4 linked regions of the Saccharomyces cerevisiae S288C genome follow. The protein of the gene in region 1 interacts with the protein of each later gene in a biochemical or structural test. Each region holds a gene or a part of one and is shown in the gene's direction. Other genes may lie near its edges.

What was found.
Region 2: the proteins of TUB1 (region 1) and KIP3 form a complex in vitro, tested with the Saccharomyces cerevisiae proteins (4 studies listed by BioGRID).
Region 3: the proteins of TUB1 (region 1) and BRN1 form a complex in vitro, tested with the Saccharomyces cerevisiae proteins (one study listed by BioGRID).
Region 4: the proteins of TUB1 (region 1) and RPG1 form a complex in vitro, tested with the Saccharomyces cerevisiae proteins (one study listed by BioGRID).

The regions. Positions count from the first base shown.
Region 1 is NC_001145.3:97,427-101,169, reverse strand, and holds TUB1 (alpha-tubulin TUB1), read left to right. Parts: upstream 1-1,769; coding exon 1,770-1,794; intron 1,795-1,910; coding exon 1,911-3,229; downstream 3,230-3,743. Other genes in the region: YML083C (uncharacterized protein), read left to right, coding at 120-1,376. UniProt on the Saccharomyces cerevisiae protein: Tubulin is the major constituent of microtubules, a cylinder consisting of laterally associated linear protofilaments composed of alpha- and beta-tubulin heterodimers.
Region 2 is NC_001139.9:83,029-87,862, forward strand, and holds KIP3 (tubulin-dependent ATPase KIP3), read left to right. Parts: upstream 1-1,856; coding exon 1,857-4,274; downstream 4,275-4,834. Other genes in the region: ERMES complex subunit MDM34, read right to left, coding at 1-1,229.
Region 3 is NC_001134.8:38,841-43,613, forward strand, and holds BRN1 (condensin subunit BRN1), read left to right. Parts: upstream 1-1,990; coding exon 1,991-4,255; downstream 4,256-4,773. Other genes in the region: BNA4 (kynurenine 3-monooxygenase), read left to right, coding at 305-1,687; MRX3 (Mrx3p), read left to right, coding at 4,437-4,773. UniProt on the Saccharomyces cerevisiae protein: Regulatory subunit of the condensin complex, a complex required for conversion of interphase chromatin into mitotic-like condense chromosomes.
Region 4 is NC_001134.8:394,871-399,931, reverse strand, and holds RPG1 (translation initiation factor eIF3 core subunit a), read left to right. Parts: upstream 1-1,654; coding exon 1,655-4,549; downstream 4,550-5,061. Other genes in the region: AAA family ATPase SEC18, read left to right, coding at 1-1,318.

The DNA.
Region 1 (3,743 bases):
ACATATGTATATAAAGACGAAAGATTGAACGCCATCGTGGAGAGGGTTTTCGTATGAAGGTGCCTTAAGTCTTGTGTAGAAGTAGTTCTTTAGTTAAGATAGAACCTGGTAAAGACTCAATGGACTATTTACATGTATATAACAACAACCAGGCGCACGTTCCCAGAACACCTCCAGGCAGGCAGTGCCTATCGCCCGTTCTGCCCCCAATCATATTGGCGTTAGATCAACAACATTCGCTGACATTTGGGTACTCCAGCCCCAGGTGCTTGCCAACACCCATATTGCCTTCTATGAGCACAAATACGCCCGTCCATTGGTCACAACAGGTTGTCACTATCCCTGTCGCTGTACGAAATCATGCCGCAATGATGCCTATTATCACACCTATGACCTCCCCAAGACCTCAGTTTGAAGCAACGGCTCCCTCACCCCCTTTGGCCCCGGTCGCCATAAAGCTGCCAGATTTGAAACTACCACCGTCGCCTGTGCCCAGCACAGTAGAGGACAGAGTTTCACATCCTATCCTGCCCAAAATTGTGATCGGGAATGGCGGCGGCCGTGATGTTGAGCGAGATAGTACCGAGGAATTAATTAGGAAGATTCCAAACTACATTGGTTGTGCAAAAACAAAGGCACAATTGAGCAAAGTTAGGTCTGGTAAACAACTAATTGCATGCGCACAGGAATATCACCATCCAGTAAACAAGGACGAGATCGAAAATATCAACAACATTCTAAACTTCAGGGACTTTATTTTCAAGCATCCAAAATCCTCCTTCGAGTTCCTATGTACCCTGTCGTTTGAGCAGTTCGTTAGAGTATATTCATTCATTAGTTTCATCTACAGGACAAAGAAAATCAATAAGAACAAGTACGAACTCGTTTGTGAGATGAATGTTCACGAGCAACTCAGCAATAAGCGTATACAAAGAACAAGGACTCCTGAAAAGTACAAAATACATTTGATCTGCGAGTCAAAACTCATACTGACCTTCAACCACTGTACGAAGACAGTAAAATTTGAGTCTATCAATGGCGGGCACTGCCATCCGATTTCAGCCAACCACATTATCAAGCCCTCCCTCTTCCTTACCCACTGCATTAATAAATGCTACCAGACCGTGTCAGACCCTACCGATTTGAAATTGGCATTGAGAGACGCCTTAGAAGCCCTTGATCATGAAAGGATAGGATTGTCTTTCTTAAAGAGGAGACATTTCAAGTGCTCACACCAAGCATCATCACTCTCGAATGCCAGCGCCACATTGAAGAAACAAGAAGATCATGACACATTTGGTGTACATACAGGAATAATTCATACGGCAAATTTCTTCATGTTTAATGCATCTAGCGATATATTCCAGAGGAACTAACATATATAAATATCTGTATCCTTCTTTAAGAAAACACAATTGCATACTTTTTCCATTATAACTGACTGTTTCAGATCCTGCAATAGAAAGTATTTTTTAAGTAATGAAATAGTGCTTCCATTGATAGTAAGTGAGTAATAAGACGATCGGAAACTATTAATATAAGTATAGTTTACATATATATATATATATATGTGCCAGACGATAATATCACCGTAGTTTCCGGCCGGGTTATGCCACGCGAAAACGCCTCGAGCCAAGGGAAAAACTAAACTACAAAACAAAACAAAACAAAACAAAAACATCTACTATATCGTTTTACCCAATTCAGTATATCCGTCTACAACAGTTCTCGCCACCCAAGATCTGTAAACTTACAACTGCAAACAAACAATGAGAGAAGTTATTAGTATTAATGGTATGTTCGATTTGCCCGTCCAGGCTAGATCTTTTTTTTGTTAGTTCATTTTGGCGTTTCATCTTTCATTACTAACTTCAACGCAAAATTTTTTTTTTTTTGATTTCTCTTTACAGTCGGTCAAGCTGGTTGTCAGATTGGTAATGCCTGTTGGGAATTATATTCCCTTGAGCACGGTATTAAGCCGGATGGACATCTAGAAGATGGCCTTTCAAAGCCGAAGGGAGGAGAAGAGGGTTTCTCCACGTTTTTCCATGAAACCGGCTACGGTAAGTTCGTTCCAAGGGCTATTTACGTGGATTTAGAGCCCAACGTTATTGACGAAGTCCGTAACGGTCCTTACAAGGACTTGTTCCATCCAGAACAGTTGATCAGTGGTAAGGAGGACGCGGCTAATAATTATGCAAGAGGCCATTACACCGTTGGTAGAGAAATTTTGGGCGATGTTCTGGATAGGATTAGAAAACTGGCAGACCAATGTGATGGGTTACAAGGGTTCTTGTTTACCCATTCTCTTGGTGGTGGTACTGGTTCCGGTCTAGGGTCCTTACTGTTGGAAGAACTATCCGCTGAATACGGTAAGAAATCCAAGCTGGAATTTGCCGTATACCCTGCTCCACAAGTGTCTACTTCTGTGGTTGAGCCTTACAACACAGTTTTAACTACACATACTACATTGGAACATGCAGATTGTACTTTCATGGTCGATAATGAGGCTATTTACGACATGTGCAAAAGAAACTTGGATATCCCAAGACCAAGCTTTGCAAACTTAAACAACCTAATTGCTCAAGTGGTATCATCTGTTACAGCATCATTGAGATTCGACGGTTCATTAAATGTAGATTTGAACGAATTTCAAACCAATTTGGTTCCATATCCAAGAATTCATTTCCCCTTAGTTTCATATTCTCCAGTCTTATCCAAATCAAAGGCATTCCATGAGTCCAACTCTGTGTCAGAAATTACAAACGCTTGTTTTGAACCTGGTAACCAGATGGTCAAGTGTGATCCAAGAGATGGTAAATACATGGCTACTTGTCTGTTATACAGGGGTGATGTGGTAACAAGAGATGTTCAAAGAGCTGTCGAGCAGGTGAAAAACAAGAAGACCGTCCAATTGGTTGATTGGTGTCCAACTGGTTTCAAGATCGGTATTTGCTACGAACCTCCAACTGCCACACCAAACTCACAATTGGCCACTGTGGATAGGGCCGTCTGTATGTTGTCAAATACCACATCCATTGCTGAGGCTTGGAAGAGAATCGATAGAAAATTCGATTTAATGTATGCCAAACGTGCTTTCGTCCACTGGTATGTCGGTGAAGGTATGGAAGAAGGTGAATTCACCGAAGCTAGAGAAGATTTGGCTGCTTTAGAAAGAGATTACATCGAAGTGGGTGCCGACTCATACGCTGAGGAAGAGGAATTTTAAGGTTCACTCTCGCCCCCAACCTCCTTATCCTTTCTATATTTCAAGTATATTGTAAAAAAAAAAATTCCCCCTACTGTTATATCTCTTTGGTGATATCTTATCTATAATCTACTTATTATATTTCTCTAATATCTATGTACAAAAAATAAAAAAAAAAACCATTCTCCTTCTCTAACCTGCATTTGATGAAAGCTTAGTAAGTCTCATCGTAGTTGATGGGCCAAAGACATTTGTACTTGTTTCATCAGATTCTTACATCACCCATTTCCATGATTATTTCACGGATTTCATTAGTAATTGCATTTTTGTATCCCTAGTTCCTTTTCTCCCGCCTTGCCGTCGAATTGAAAAAAAAAATGGAAATGAGGACATCTTCCATTGATATCCAGGACAAAGCAAGAGTAGAAGTAACTATTAGCAAGGAGAATTCCAAAAATAGTGAACTTCAAGGTAAGCAGATCTATAGTTTCAATATCTGATTTTCTGCTTTTCAAAACTTAAAATTCATTAGAAG
Region 2 (4,834 bases), on another chromosome or scaffold:
TTATCCCTTATCGATACTGTTGTTTTCAAATATGGGGGAGATTGTTCTTCAAGCTCGGGTATCGGTGTTTGGACCGGTGTGGACGTAACTGTTTCAATAGCAGTACTATCATCAACAGCCTGTTCTCCTTGTGATTGTAGGTTCGATGGTGTGCGGGTCTTTTTGCATTTGATCTTTCTTCTCCTTGGTTTGGCATTGTCGTCGTTGCTGTTACTCCTATCGAAAAGTCGAGACTGAATCTTGGTTATCGTAGCCAAATCGTACTGGCTGGAATCTAACACTGTTTTAGGTAATAGATTGTGGGAACAGTAGAATGGCTTTACCAATTGTTTTGATGATACGGTTGATGACTTTGGTTGTGGAAATGATTGCGAAGAGTAGTAATTGTTTAAAGAGGGCATCCTTGATATAAATCTGTACAAGTTTTGTCTTTCCAAGCAACCAGGTATAGCGGAAAGAGAATTCATCACAGTGGAATGTAGTGACAGTGTTGACCTCGACGACACAATGCTTGAAAGACGTAGCATGTTTATTGGAGAAAGCTCTTGAAAATCTGATCCGTCCAAGATTACATTCCTAGACATTGTAGTTTGTTGATGATGATGCTCTCTTTTACCAGGGATGGTACTGGTGCTCTCGCCGCGATTGGTGAACCAGTTCTGTGACGTGTTGAAGATCAAAGAAGGAAGAACATCCTTGAACACTACATGCATGGACTCTTTTAGCCTTCTCTCAATGGTGCTTTGGAGAATTTTTACAGAACAATCAAACTTAAAATCCAAATCAACGTCATTAAAGGATATCCCAATTCCAGGGTTCTTTACAAAAATATTCGTGATGGCTTCTAGCTCGATGGAACTGAACGTCATAGTTATAGGAATTGTGAACGATCCATTATTGATGAGCTGGGGCATGGTAAAGCTGGGTGTATCCTGTTCGTTAATCAATAAAAGATTCGACTCTATGACTGTCTGTATCCGCAACATAGCATCCTTACATGAAATCTTGCAAATCCCCTTGGCCAGAGACTTGGGCTGCGTGATAATGTCTAGGTCCAGAATTTCTAGCTGTGGTATTGTAGGAAAATCCACCTTCTGTACCTTAATTCCGCTTTTCAAGATATCTAATTTCTTTTTAGACGGTGAGTTCAAAGCCGTAGATAACTTTTCCCGTATTCGTTCATTGAAAGAGTTATCACCAAACACAGCTTCGTTGAATCTAAATGACATGACGATGCTGAAGTTTCTTGCAGTTGTGTTTTTTTTGTTATAATTGTTACTGTTTCTATGTTTTACGAATCTTCCATGACTCTTCTAATTGGTCTCTTTTTACTACAAGGCTTCATGGCCCTTTTTCAAACCTAATTTATAAGTTCTTTGCCCTATGCTTAAAACAGTTTAGCCCTATTTAATATAGTACAAAAAAGGAAAAACCTAATTGAAAAAAGCTATTCACCCTAGGTCATTACTACTTTTTCCCTTAGCTAGCCGTGTTTTTAGTTTTTGTTTTGTTTATTTTACCTGTATTATGCCTTGTTTGATGACTTTAGTATGGGTTTGGTTTGTCTTATCCTTGGATACAAAAGGACCAGATACATTCACGTCTGGTCGGTAGAACATCGGTATCCAGTATAGTGTTCAGCTGTTCCTATAGAGACAAAATTTATAATCTGCGTGTAACAAATATCTGCAGGTTAAAAAAGTCCAGATCAGTGTTTCGAAGCTGTTGATTTTTCTTTTTTTTTTTTTATATTAAAATTTTCATATTCCCTGATTGCATCGTTTATCTGATTATCATTTCATTGCATTCTTTAACTACTTGAGTTTTCTTTCCAGCTGTATACTATTGACACTAACATGAACGTGCCTGAAACAAGACAATCCTCCATAGTCGTAGCTATAAGAGTAAGGCCCTTTACGTCAATGGAAAAAACAAGATTGGTCAATGAAGCTAGTGGTGCAGAAGCTAACTTTCCCGGTTTGGGGGATTCGTCGTTAATATTACCCATGAGTAATAACTCCGACTCCGATATAGACATAGACGCTGAAGAAGGTTCTACGCGGAGCAAAAGAAATAGCTTGCTGAGGAGAAAAGTAATTAGACCGGAGGGTATACGTAAAATTGTGGATTGTGTGGATGATAGAATGCTCATATTCGACCCAGCTGATAGAAACCCATTGAACAAAGTGAGTGATCAGGTCCTGAACTCGATGCGTGCAAGGGCCACTAAGGCCACTGCGTCCTCTATCAATAACAGCAATGCTACGAACAAATTTTCTTCGCAACGTCGAAGGCACGGTGGCGAAATCAAGTTTGTATTTGATAAATTGTTTGATGAAACCTCTTCCCAAGCCCGTGTATACAAAGAGACCACCAGCCCGCTCCTAGATTCTGTTTTAGATGGATTCAACAGTACCGTATTTGCTTACGGTGCTACTGGTTGTGGCAAGACATATACTGTGAGTGGCACACCTTCACAGCCGGGGATCATATTTCTAGCCATGGAGGAACTATTCAATAAAATTACAGACCTGAAGGACGAAAAAGACTTCGAGATTTCACTGTCTTACTTGGAAATATACAATGAAAGAATCAGAGACCTTTTGAAACCAGAGACACCATCTAAAAGATTGGTCATTAGAGAAGATACGCAGAACCACATCAAAGTGGCGAATTTGTCGTATCACCACCCAAATACGGTAGAAGATGTGATGGACTTAGTTGTCCAGGGAAACATAAACAGGACTACGTCACCGACGGAAGCAAACGAAGTATCTTCACGATCTCATGCAGTGCTGCAAATACACATCATGCAGACAAATAAGCTTGTAGACTTGACCTCGCAACATACATTTGCTACACTTTCAATAATCGATCTAGCTGGGAGCGAAAGAGCCGCCGCAACAAGAAACCGTGGTATAAGATTACACGAAGGTGCGAATATAAATAGATCCCTACTAGCACTGGGCAATTGCATTAACGCGTTGTGCTTGAATGATGGCAGCAGAAGCTGTCATATTCCATACAGGGATTCCAAGTTAACTAGGCTGTTGAAATTTTCACTGGGTGGCAATTGCAAAACAGTCATGATTGTTTGCATATCGCCCAGCAGTTCACATTATGATGAGACATTGAATACTTTGAAATATGCAAATCGTGCTAAAGAAATAAAGACCAAAATAATCAGAAATCAGCAGTCTTTGAGTAGACACGTTGGATCTTATTTGAAAATGATTACGGAACAAAAGCGACAAATCGAAGAGTTACGCGAACGTGAAGAGAAGATGATTTCTTTGAAGCTAACGAAATACAAACTAAACAAAGAAAAGATCCAGTTAGCCATTAACGAGTGCGTCAATCGTGTTCAGCAAACGTATGCAGGAGTGGAAACGTATCAAGTAGCCAAGACCTTGAAATCATTAATACTTTGTAAAAGGCGGTTTTTGCAAATGGTCAAGCTAGAAGTGGATAATTTGATACTATTATTTGAACGGGAGGAAAGTACAGCCGCCGAGATGCAGCCGGTGATTAGTAATTGCCGAATGATCAGTGGTCAGCTTTATAACAAAATACACGAGTTAGAAATGAAATTTGATGAAACCGACACTCTGAGTTCCGTCATTCATCAGGTACATTCCATTGACTTGAACAAGTTAAGAGAGATGGAGGACTGGGATGAAACTTACGACCTGGTGTACTTGGAGTCGTGTTTAAATCAAATATCAGAATTACAAAGAAACGAAATCTTGGTTAATTCCTCCATAATGACAGAAAAATTAATGTCAGATCCGGGTTTGAACTCCCGATTTAAATTTCTATCAAAGTGGCTGATGAATAGGACACCTAACATTGAATCCATAATTCAAGACCTGGTTCATATCGACGAGGAGTTTGAATCTTTTGCCAGAACTTTTATCGCCAATCCCGATAGCAATTTTACAAACACAAATATAAATATAATAAACACGACGGCAGCTGACTTGGCTGTTCCCGCTGAGACCCTACAACGGCAAAATTTTTCCCAAAAAAAAGTAAAGTGGACGAGTCCCGACCTTAGTCCCAGCCCTATGATTGAACCACAACCGGAGCTAGAACCAGAACTACACCAAGATCAAGACGCCATTGCAAGTGAAGTGGACGTAAGTATGCAAGATACCACATTCAATGAGCAGGGGCCCTCGACCCCCTCCGCTCCGACTACAGCGGTTCCAAGAAGGAAGATGCGCTCCTCCCTTCTTACTCATCAAAGTCTACTGGCCACTGCCAGGAAATAACATACATATCCTACGTAAACTATCGAATATAACTTCTTTCCGCCAGCATTAAACGCATTTATGTTGATTAATTCCGGGTTACGGGAAAAATTTTTCTTTAATTTCTTTTTTTTGAATTTATTTGGCACGAGAAAAGGTTCAAAGTGAATAATTGCTTTTAGTCATTAGACACATTACCTACTTTCTAAGAGATTCTAAAAGAAACTAAGCACCACAAATCATTGATCTTTTAAGAAAAACGCACAAGGATCATATACTAGATTCTCGTTCTCGTTTTTTCTTCCTTTTTTTTTTCTCTAAAGCCTTTTACTGGGTTAATTTCCTTTATTGACCCAAATTAAAAGAAAACGTTTCTCAGGAGACTCTTTTAAGCAAAATTTAGCAAATTTGTGTTTGCTGTTGTTTTTACAGAGACTGCATTACTTGAAGGTTTGCCTTTAAGTCTTCGAGTCGTTTTTTTTTATTAACTTTAATCCTTTTTCTGTGTGTTTGTGTATATTCAGTGGGGTTATTTTACAGTATTCGAAGAGACTTCGTTTCACACATTTAAACCAGCTTTA
Region 3 (4,773 bases), on another chromosome or scaffold:
TTTTATTTTGATTATTATATATTATTATTATTCTTATGGTAAATAATGCCCCTACTTTTCTTCTAAGGAAATGAGTTACTACAAAAATAAGGAAATATCGCCTGCAAGCGGTTTTTATTTTGGAGTTGTTTTTTTTTTTCCCACAATAGCCTCTAGTTTATTCCATTCTTAGCACTGACTCTTTTTTCCGCCACTATTTCTTATAAAAGGCCCGAATTTCTGGCACGGACGTTGTTTTTAATAATAAAATATTGAATGACAGTTAAAAAATCACGTAGTCAGTTAATCTGTTTAACTTGAAAATATGTCTGAATCAGTGGCCATTATAGGTGCAGGATTAGTAGGCTGCCTTGCAGCTTTGGCATTCTCCAAAGAAGGCTACAATGTCACACTATATGATTTTAGACAAGATCCTCGATTGGACACCACCAAAAATAAAAATTTGAAATCCATTAATTTGGCTATTTCTGCTCGTGGCATTGATGCTCTGAAATCAATAGATCCGGATGCTTGTGAACATATTCTGCAAGATATGATTCCCATGAAAGGCAGGATGATTCATGACTTGAAAGGCAGACAGGAATCACAATTGTATGGCTTGCATGGAGAAGCTATTAATTCTATCAATAGATCTGTATTAAATAATAGCCTTTTGGACGAATTAGAAAAATCTACAACAGAACTGAAGTTCGGTCACAAATTAGTCAAAATCGAATGGACAGATGATAAACAAATCTGTCATTTTGCCATTGGGGAAGATTTGAAAACCCCACATACTGAAAAGTATGATTTTGTCATAGGTTGTGACGGAGCATACTCTGCGACGAGATCGCAAATGCAACGTAAAGTTGAGATGGATTTTTCACAAGAATATATGAATTTACGTTACATTGAACTTTACATCCCGCCTACTGAGGAATTCAAGCCAAACTATGGCGGAAATTTTGCAATAGCTCCTGACCATTTGCACATTTGGCCTCGTCATAAATTCATGTTAATTGCGCTCGCCAACAGTGACGGCTCGTTCACTTCAACCTTTTTCGGTTCTAAAGATCAAATATCAGATCTGATAACTTCCAAGTCACGTGTGAGGGAATTCTTAATCGAGAACTTTCCCGATATTATTAATATTATGGATTTGGACGATGCTGTCAAAAGGTTTATCACTTATCCAAAGGAAAGTCTTGTCTGTGTAAACTGTAAGCCATACGATGTACCAGGCGGAAAGGCCATCCTACTCGGCGACGCTGCCCATGCAATGGTTCCATTTTACGGCCAAGGTATGAATTGCGGATTTGAAGATGTGAGAATTCTTATGGCGCTATTGAAAAAGCATTCAGGAGATCGTTCAAGAGCCTTTACTGAGTACACTCAAACAAGACATAAGGACCTAGTTTCTATTACTGAGCTGGCAAAAAGGAACTATAAAGAAATGTCACATGACGTTACATCCAAGCGGTTTTTATTAAGGAAAAAGCTAGATGCTCTCTTTAGTATTATAATGAAGGATAAGTGGATACCTTTGTATACAATGATATCTTTCAGATCCGATATCTCGTATTCTAGAGCTTTAGAAAGGGCTGGAAAGCAAACACGTATCTTGAAATTCTTAGAATCTCTGACACTCGGTATGTTATCTATTGGCGGTTACAAGCTTTTCAAATTTTTGACAAGAGAACGTTCCTGAAGCCAGTTTATTCTTGCCATCCGTGTACGCTAGGAGAGGATTATTAAAATAAGTGATATATACATATATATATATATATATATATATATAATACACTAATTATTTTATGTGATGTTGATCACGCGAAACGGTAAACGGCTCTGTTCGCGCTTTCTTTGTTTACATTTTAGTGAAGTATTGTCAAGATAATATCCATATGGTTGAACTTTTTATATTGGCTAGTTAAATACTCTATTTATTGCACCAAAAAATCATCTTAGTGGACTTTTTGGAGCAAAAAAAACCAGCAGGTAGTTATATAAGATGACTACACAACTAAGGTATGAAAATAACGATGACGATGAAAGAGTAGAATATAATCTCTTTACCAATAGATCCACCATGATGGCAAATTTTGAAGAATGGATCAAAATGGCTACAGATAATAAAATCAATTCCCGAAATAGTTGGAATTTCGCATTGATCGACTATTTTTATGACTTGGACGTTTTGAAAGATGGCGAGAATAACATCAATTTTCAGAAAGCATCTGCAACCTTGGATGGGTGTATTAAGATTTACTCTTCGAGAGTTGATTCAGTGACAACGGAAACAGGTAAGTTATTGAGCGGGTTGGCACAAAGAAAGACGAATGGGGCATCTAACGGAGATGACAGTAACGGGGGAAATGGTGAAGGGCTTGGAGGTGACAGTGACGAAGCAAATATAGAGATTGATCCCTTAACTGGTATGCCTATATCTAATGATCCTGATGTGAATAACACTAGGCGGAGAGTGTACAACAGAGTTTTAGAAACAACATTGGTGGAGTTCGAAACGATCAAGATGAAAGAGCTAGACCAGGAATTAATAATTGATCCATTATTCAAAAAGGCCTTGGTTGATTTCGATGAAGGTGGCGCCAAGAGTTTATTGTTGAACACATTAAACATAGACAACACTGCAAGAGTCATTTTCGATGCATCAATTAAGGATACACAAAACGTAGGGCAAGGTAAACTTCAAAGGAAAGAAGAAGAATTAATTGAAAGAGATAGTTTAGTAGATGACGAAAATGAACCTAGCCAGTCATTGATAAGTACTCGTAATGACTCAACCGTAAATGATTCCGTTATTAGTGCACCTTCCATGGAAGATGAGATTTTATCTCTTGGTATGGATTTTATAAAATTTGATCAAATTGCGGTGTGTGAAATTTCAGGATCGATTGAGCAACTAAGGAACGTTGTCGAAGATATTAATCAAGCGAAAGACTTTATCGAAAATGTTAACAACAGATTTGATAACTTCTTAACTGAAGAAGAATTGCAAGCAGCTGTCCCAGATAATGCAGAAGATGATAGCGATGGCTTTGATATGGGCATGCAACAGGAGCTGTGCTATCCAGATGAAAATCATGACAATACATCACATGATGAACAAGATGATGATAATGTCAACAGTACCACAGGAAGTATATTCGAAAAAGATTTGATGGCATACTTTGACGAAAATCTAAATAGAAACTGGAGAGGGAGAGAACATTGGAAAGTACGAAATTTTAAGAAAGCAAACTTAGTGAATAAAGAATCCGACCTGTTGGAAGAAACGCGAACTACTATAGGAGATACTACTGACAAAAACACAACGGACGACAAATCGATGGATACGAAGAAGAAGCATAAACAAAAAAAGGTTCTGGAAATTGATTTCTTCAAAACGGATGATAGTTTTGAAGACAAAGTCTTTGCCTCAAAAGGAAGGACAAAGATTGACATGCCGATTAAGAACAGAAAGAACGACACACATTATTTACTGCCGGATGACTTCCATTTTTCCACTGATAGAATAACAAGATTGTTCATTAAACCGGGGCAGAAAATGAGTCTGTTCAGTCATAGGAAGCATACCAGAGGCGACGTTAGTTCGGGGCTTTTTGAAAAAAGCACAGTTTCTGCCAACCATTCAAATAACGACATTCCTACTATTGCAGATGAGCACTTTTGGGCGGATAATTACGAAAGGAAAGAACAAGAGGAAAAAGAAAAGGAGCAGTCTAAAGAGGTTGGTGATGTGGTGGGTGGAGCGCTCGATAATCCGTTTGAAGATGACATGGACGGTGTTGACTTCAACCAAGCTTTCGAAGGAACAGATGATAACGAGGAGGCCAGTGTGAAACTTGATTTACAGGATGACGAAGATCATAAGTTCCCCATTCGAGAAAATAAAGTTACTTATTCAAGAGTTTCGAAAAAAGTTGACGTAAGAAGATTAAAGAAAAACGTATGGAGATCGATCAACAATTTGATACAAGAACATGACAGTAGGAAAAATAGAGAACAAAGCTCTAATGACAGTGAAACCCACACAGAAGATGAATCAACAAAGGAGCTCAAGTTTTCTGATATCATTCAGGGTATAAGTAAAATGTATTCGGATGATACACTAAAGGACATTTCAACAAGCTTTTGTTTTATATGCCTTCTACACTTAGCCAATGAGCATGGGTTGCAGATAACTCATACCGAAAACTATAATGACTTGATAGTGAATTATGAGGATCTAGCGACAACACAGGCAGCGTCATAGTTGATGATCTTTTTTTTTTTTTTTTTTTTTTTTTTTGTGCTGCAAAGTTTCTTAAAGCCTTCGGGCTTACGAAATCCTTTATCGCCGAAAGGGGACCGCTTCGAAAAGTGGATATAAAACAAGGTATTTATTTTTATAGACAATGACCAAATGACAGGATAGATCGAGGGTGAGTTCCAATATGTCCAGAACTATTCCATTTCTATTTAAATTAGTCAACAGGGCAGTAATTTTGCCTACGGCAGGTTTTACATTAGGAGTTGGTGCGTTTGTAAAGGCGTGGCCCGATGATGCCGGTGTTCTATCATTGAATGATCCGCAAACGCCAGCGGAGTTGATTAGTGCGACCAAGAGCCGCCAACCTATGGAGCTGCAGAGGGTTGACATCCTCGCTCAAATCGAGAAAAGCGAGGTTTACAACAAGTTGGCCCAGGATGAGAAGATGCACCATGTCTTATTCAGTGAGAAAATACCAAGCGGGCATAGGGAATATCATGTAGGACAAGGCCTCTTGTTCG
Region 4 (5,061 bases), on another chromosome or scaffold:
AGAAAACATTCGTAATTTATTTAAGGATGCAGAAGCAGAATATAGGGCCAAGGGTGAGGAATCTTCCTTACATATTATTATTTTCGATGAGCTGGATTCTGTTTTCAAGCAGAGAGGTTCAAGAGGTGATGGTACCGGTGTAGGGGACAATGTAGTTAATCAATTGTTAGCTAAAATGGATGGTGTTGATCAATTGAATAATATTTTGGTTATTGGTATGACCAATCGTAAAGATTTAATAGACAGTGCTCTTTTGCGTCCAGGTAGATTTGAAGTCCAAGTTGAAATTCATTTACCCGATGAAAAAGGAAGACTCCAAATTTTCGACATTCAGACGAAGAAAATGAGGGAAAATAATATGATGAGCGACGATGTTAACTTAGCTGAGTTAGCTGCGTTAACAAAAAACTTCTCTGGTGCTGAGATTGAGGGTTTAGTGAAGAGTGCAAGTTCTTTTGCAATCAACAAAACCGTCAACATCGGGAAAGGTGCCACAAAACTTAACACTAAAGATATAGCAAAACTTAAAGTAACAAGAGAAGACTTTTTAAATGCACTCAACGATGTTACTCCCGCTTTTGGGATTAGTGAAGAAGATTTGAAAACATGTGTGGAAGGTGGAATGATGCTTTATTCCGAACGAGTTAACTCAATATTGAAGAACGGAGCCCGTTACGTCCGCCAAGTTCGCGAGAGTGATAAATCCAGGTTAGTATCTCTATTAATCCACGGCCCTGCAGGGTCCGGTAAAACAGCTTTAGCCGCTGAAATTGCTTTAAAATCTGGATTCCCATTCATCAGGTTAATTTCTCCCAACGAGTTGTCAGGCATGTCAGAAAGCGCAAAAATTGCCTATATTGATAACACTTTCAGAGATGCGTATAAATCTCCACTAAACATTCTTGTTATTGATTCGTTAGAGACTCTAGTTGATTGGGTACCAATTGGTCCAAGATTCTCTAATAACATTTTACAAATGCTAAAGGTTGCATTGAAGCGTAAACCCCCACAAGACCGTCGTTTATTGATCATGACTACTACATCAGCTTATTCGGTACTTCAACAAATGGATATCTTGAGTTGCTTCGACAATGAGATAGCAGTTCCAAATATGACCAATTTAGATGAATTGAACAACGTCATGATAGAATCAAACTTTCTTGACGATGCTGGTAGAGTTAAAGTTATTAATGAATTATCAAGGAGCTGTCCTAACTTCAATGTCGGTATTAAAAAGACCTTGACCAACATTGAAACCGCAAGGCACGATGAAGATCCCGTGAACGAGCTTGTTGAGTTGATGACCCAATCCGCATAATTATTTCAAATTTTTCATGTCCTTGTATTTTTATTCTTTATCCCTTCCAATCAGAAAGGATCTAGTGAACAAGTTCTTTCCTCTATGGTATATATTTTAGTGATAAATTTTATAAAATTATCAAAACCAAGGCATCCTTTCCTTTTATTCTGTCATTGGAATCTGCCTGTCATAATTATCACCCACCGGGTAAAGATGATAATTTTTCAGTCGCTTTGCCCGAGAAGCTTTGCCAGGTGAAAAATTTTTCTTGGTGAACTAAATCGAAAGTAGATATACTTACAACTATAGAGAGAGTTCCAAAATAAACCATACAAACGCCCAGGAAACATCAAGATGGCCCCCCCACCATTCCGTCCTGAAAATGCCATTAAGAGAGCCGATGAACTTATTTCTGTTGGCGAAAAACAAGCTGCTTTACAATCTTTGCATGATTTCATAACTGCCAGAAGAATCCGTTGGGCTACACCTTCAACTGTTGAGCCAGTCGTGTTTAAATTCTTGGAAATTGGTGTTGAACTAAAGAAAGGTAAGCTGCTAAAAGACGGTTTGCACCAGTACAAAAAATTAATTCAAGGATCTACCGAAGGTTTGGTTTCTGTCGGTGCCGTTGCACGTAAATTCATTGATTTAGTCGAATCTAAAATCGCTTCTGAACAAACTAGAGCTGACGAACTTCAAAAGCAAGAAATCGATGATGATTTGGAAGGTGGTGTTACCCCAGAAAATTTGCTGATTTCTGTTTACGAGTCAGATCAATCTGTGGCTGGTTTCAATGATGAAGCCATTACTTCATGGTTAAGATTTACTTGGGAATCATATCGTGCAGTCTTAGATTTATTGAGAAACAACGCTTTGTTGGAAATTACTTATTCTGGTGTCGTTAAAAAAACTATGCATTTCTGTTTGAAGTATCAGCGTAAAAACGAATTCAAGAGATTAGCTGAAATGTTACGTCAACATTTAGATGCTGCTAACTACCAACAAAGTAAATCAGGAAACAATTTAGTTGACTTGAGCGATGCTGATACCTTGCAACGTTATTTAGATCAACGTTTCCAACAAGTCGATGTTTCTGTCAAGTTGGAATTGTGGCACGAGGCTTATAGATCCATTGAGGATGTTTTCCACTTAATGAAAATATCCAAACGTGCTCCTAAACCATCTACTTTGGCTAATTACTACGAGAATCTCGTAAAGGTCTTCTTTGTTTCCGGTGATCCATTGTTGCACACTACTGCCTGGAAGAAGTTTTATAAGTTATATTCTACCAATCCAAGAGCCACGGAAGAAGAATTCAAAACATATTCTTCTACAATTTTCCTATCCGCTATTTCTACCCAACTAGACGAAATTCCATCTATTGGCTACGATCCTCATTTACGTATGTACCGTTTATTAAACTTGGACGCCAAGCCAACTAGAAAGGAAATGTTGCAATCCATTATTGAAGACGAATCCATTTATGGTAAAGTTGACGAGGAATTGAAAGAATTGTACGATATCATTGAAGTTAACTTTGATGTCGACACAGTGAAACAACAGCTGGAAAATTTATTAGTCAAATTGTCTTCTAAAACCTACTTCAGCCAATACATCGCACCTTTAAGAGACGTCATTATGAGAAGGGTTTTTGTTGCTGCCTCTCAAAAATTCACTACTGTCTCCCAGTCCGAATTATACAAGCTCGCTACCCTACCTGCTCCGTTAGACTTATCTGCTTGGGACATCGAAAAATCGCTGTTACAAGCTGCTGTGGAAGATTATGTTTCAATTACCATCGATCATGAATCTGCTAAGGTTACATTCGCTAAAGATCCATTTGACATTTTCGCATCAACTGCTTCTAAAGAAGTCTCTGAAGAAGAAAACACAGAGCCAGAAGTCCAAGAAGAAAAGGAGGAAACTGACGAAGCTCTTGGGCCACAAGAAACTGAAGACGGTGAAGAAAAGGAAGAAGAATCTGATCCTGTTATTATCCGCAATTCTTACATCCACAACAAGTTGCTTGAATTATCCAATGTCCTACACGATGTTGACAGTTTCAACAATGCTTCATACATGGAAAAGGTTAGAATTGCCCGTGAAACTTTAATTAAGAAGAACAAGGATGACCTTGAAAAGATTTCCAAGATTGTTGACGAACGTGTCAAGAGATCTCAAGAGCAAAAGCAAAAACATATGGAACATGCTGCCCTACATGCTGAACAGGATGCTGAGGTCAGACAACAGCGTATTTTGGAAGAAAAAGCTGCTATTGAAGCTAAATTGGAAGAAGAGGCTCACCGTCGCTTAATTGAAAAGAAGAAACGTGAATTTGAAGCTATCAAAGAAAGAGAAATCACAAAGATGATTACTGAGGTGAATGCTAAGGGACATGTTTACATTGACCCTAACGAAGCTAAAAGCTTAGATCTTGACACCATTAAACAGGTTATTATAGCTGAGGTATCAAAGAACAAGAGTGAATTGGAAAGTCGTATGGAATATGCTATGAAGAAGTTAGATCATACGGAAAGAGCTTTGAGAAAGGTCGAATTGCCATTGCTGCAAAAAGAAGTTGACAAGCTACAAGAAACAGACACAGCAAATTATGAAGCTATGAAGAAAAAAATTGTCGACGCCGCCAAGGCCGAATACGAAGCCAGAATGGCTGATCGTAAGAACTTGGTCATGGTCTATGATGATTATTTGAAGTTCAAGGAGCATGTTTCGGGCACTAAGGAAAGCGAATTAGCTGCCATCCGCAACCAAAAGAAGGCTGAATTGGAAGCTGCCAAAAAGGCCAGAATTGAAGAAGTTCGTAAGCGTCGTTACGAGGAAGCCATTGCAAGGCGTAAGGAAGAAATTGCAAATGCTGAAAGACAGAAGCGTGCTCAAGAACTCGCTGAGGCTACCCGTAAACAAAGAGAAATCGAAGAAGCTGCTGCCAAGAAATCAACTCCATACTCTTTCCGCGCAGGAAACAGGGAACCTCCAAGTACACCAAGCACTCTACCAAAGGCGACCGTTTCTCCAGATAAAGCTAAATTGGATATGATCGCTCAAAAACAAAGAGAAATGGAAGAAGCCATCGAACAGAGACTAGCCGGTAGAACAGCTGGTGGGTCCTCCCCAGCTACTCCAGCTACTCCAGCAACCCCAGCAACCCCAACTCCATCTTCTGGTCCAAAGAAAATGACTATGGCTGAAAAGTTGAGAGCCAAGAGATTGGCCAAGGGGGGCAGGTAACAGACAACGCAAAATGATCTACTTAATTTATACCGTTTTTTATACGTATAAGAGTATGTGTACATAATAACAATTTATTAGACTATTTCTTTCTGATTGCTTTTTCATGTCAAAGGAAGGAGCAGAAGAGCAGTAAAGATGGCAGTTATTTTAAAAACGAATTTCGAGAAATAGTTGGTATAAATAACTATAAATAACGTTTTACTGTTTTAAAAAAGCGATCCGTTAAAAGGCCCTAACGATTCTTTAGAAACTTGAAACGTTAGCGGAAGAGCACTTTGTTTTAAACCGTAGTAAGAATTTTTTTATATTTTATTTCATTTACTTATTTTTTTTTTTTCTTTACTCCTTTTTTTTATGTTACTTAGACAAATTTCATTATATTAGGTAAAGCTAAAGGATGGTAAAAAGTCTGAGTGGTTCTTTTAATTAAGGTAGCAAAAGTTGATGAAACTGGAACTTCAAAACAGTAATAATATAGTAACAATAAGAAATAAAAGAGATATTAACGA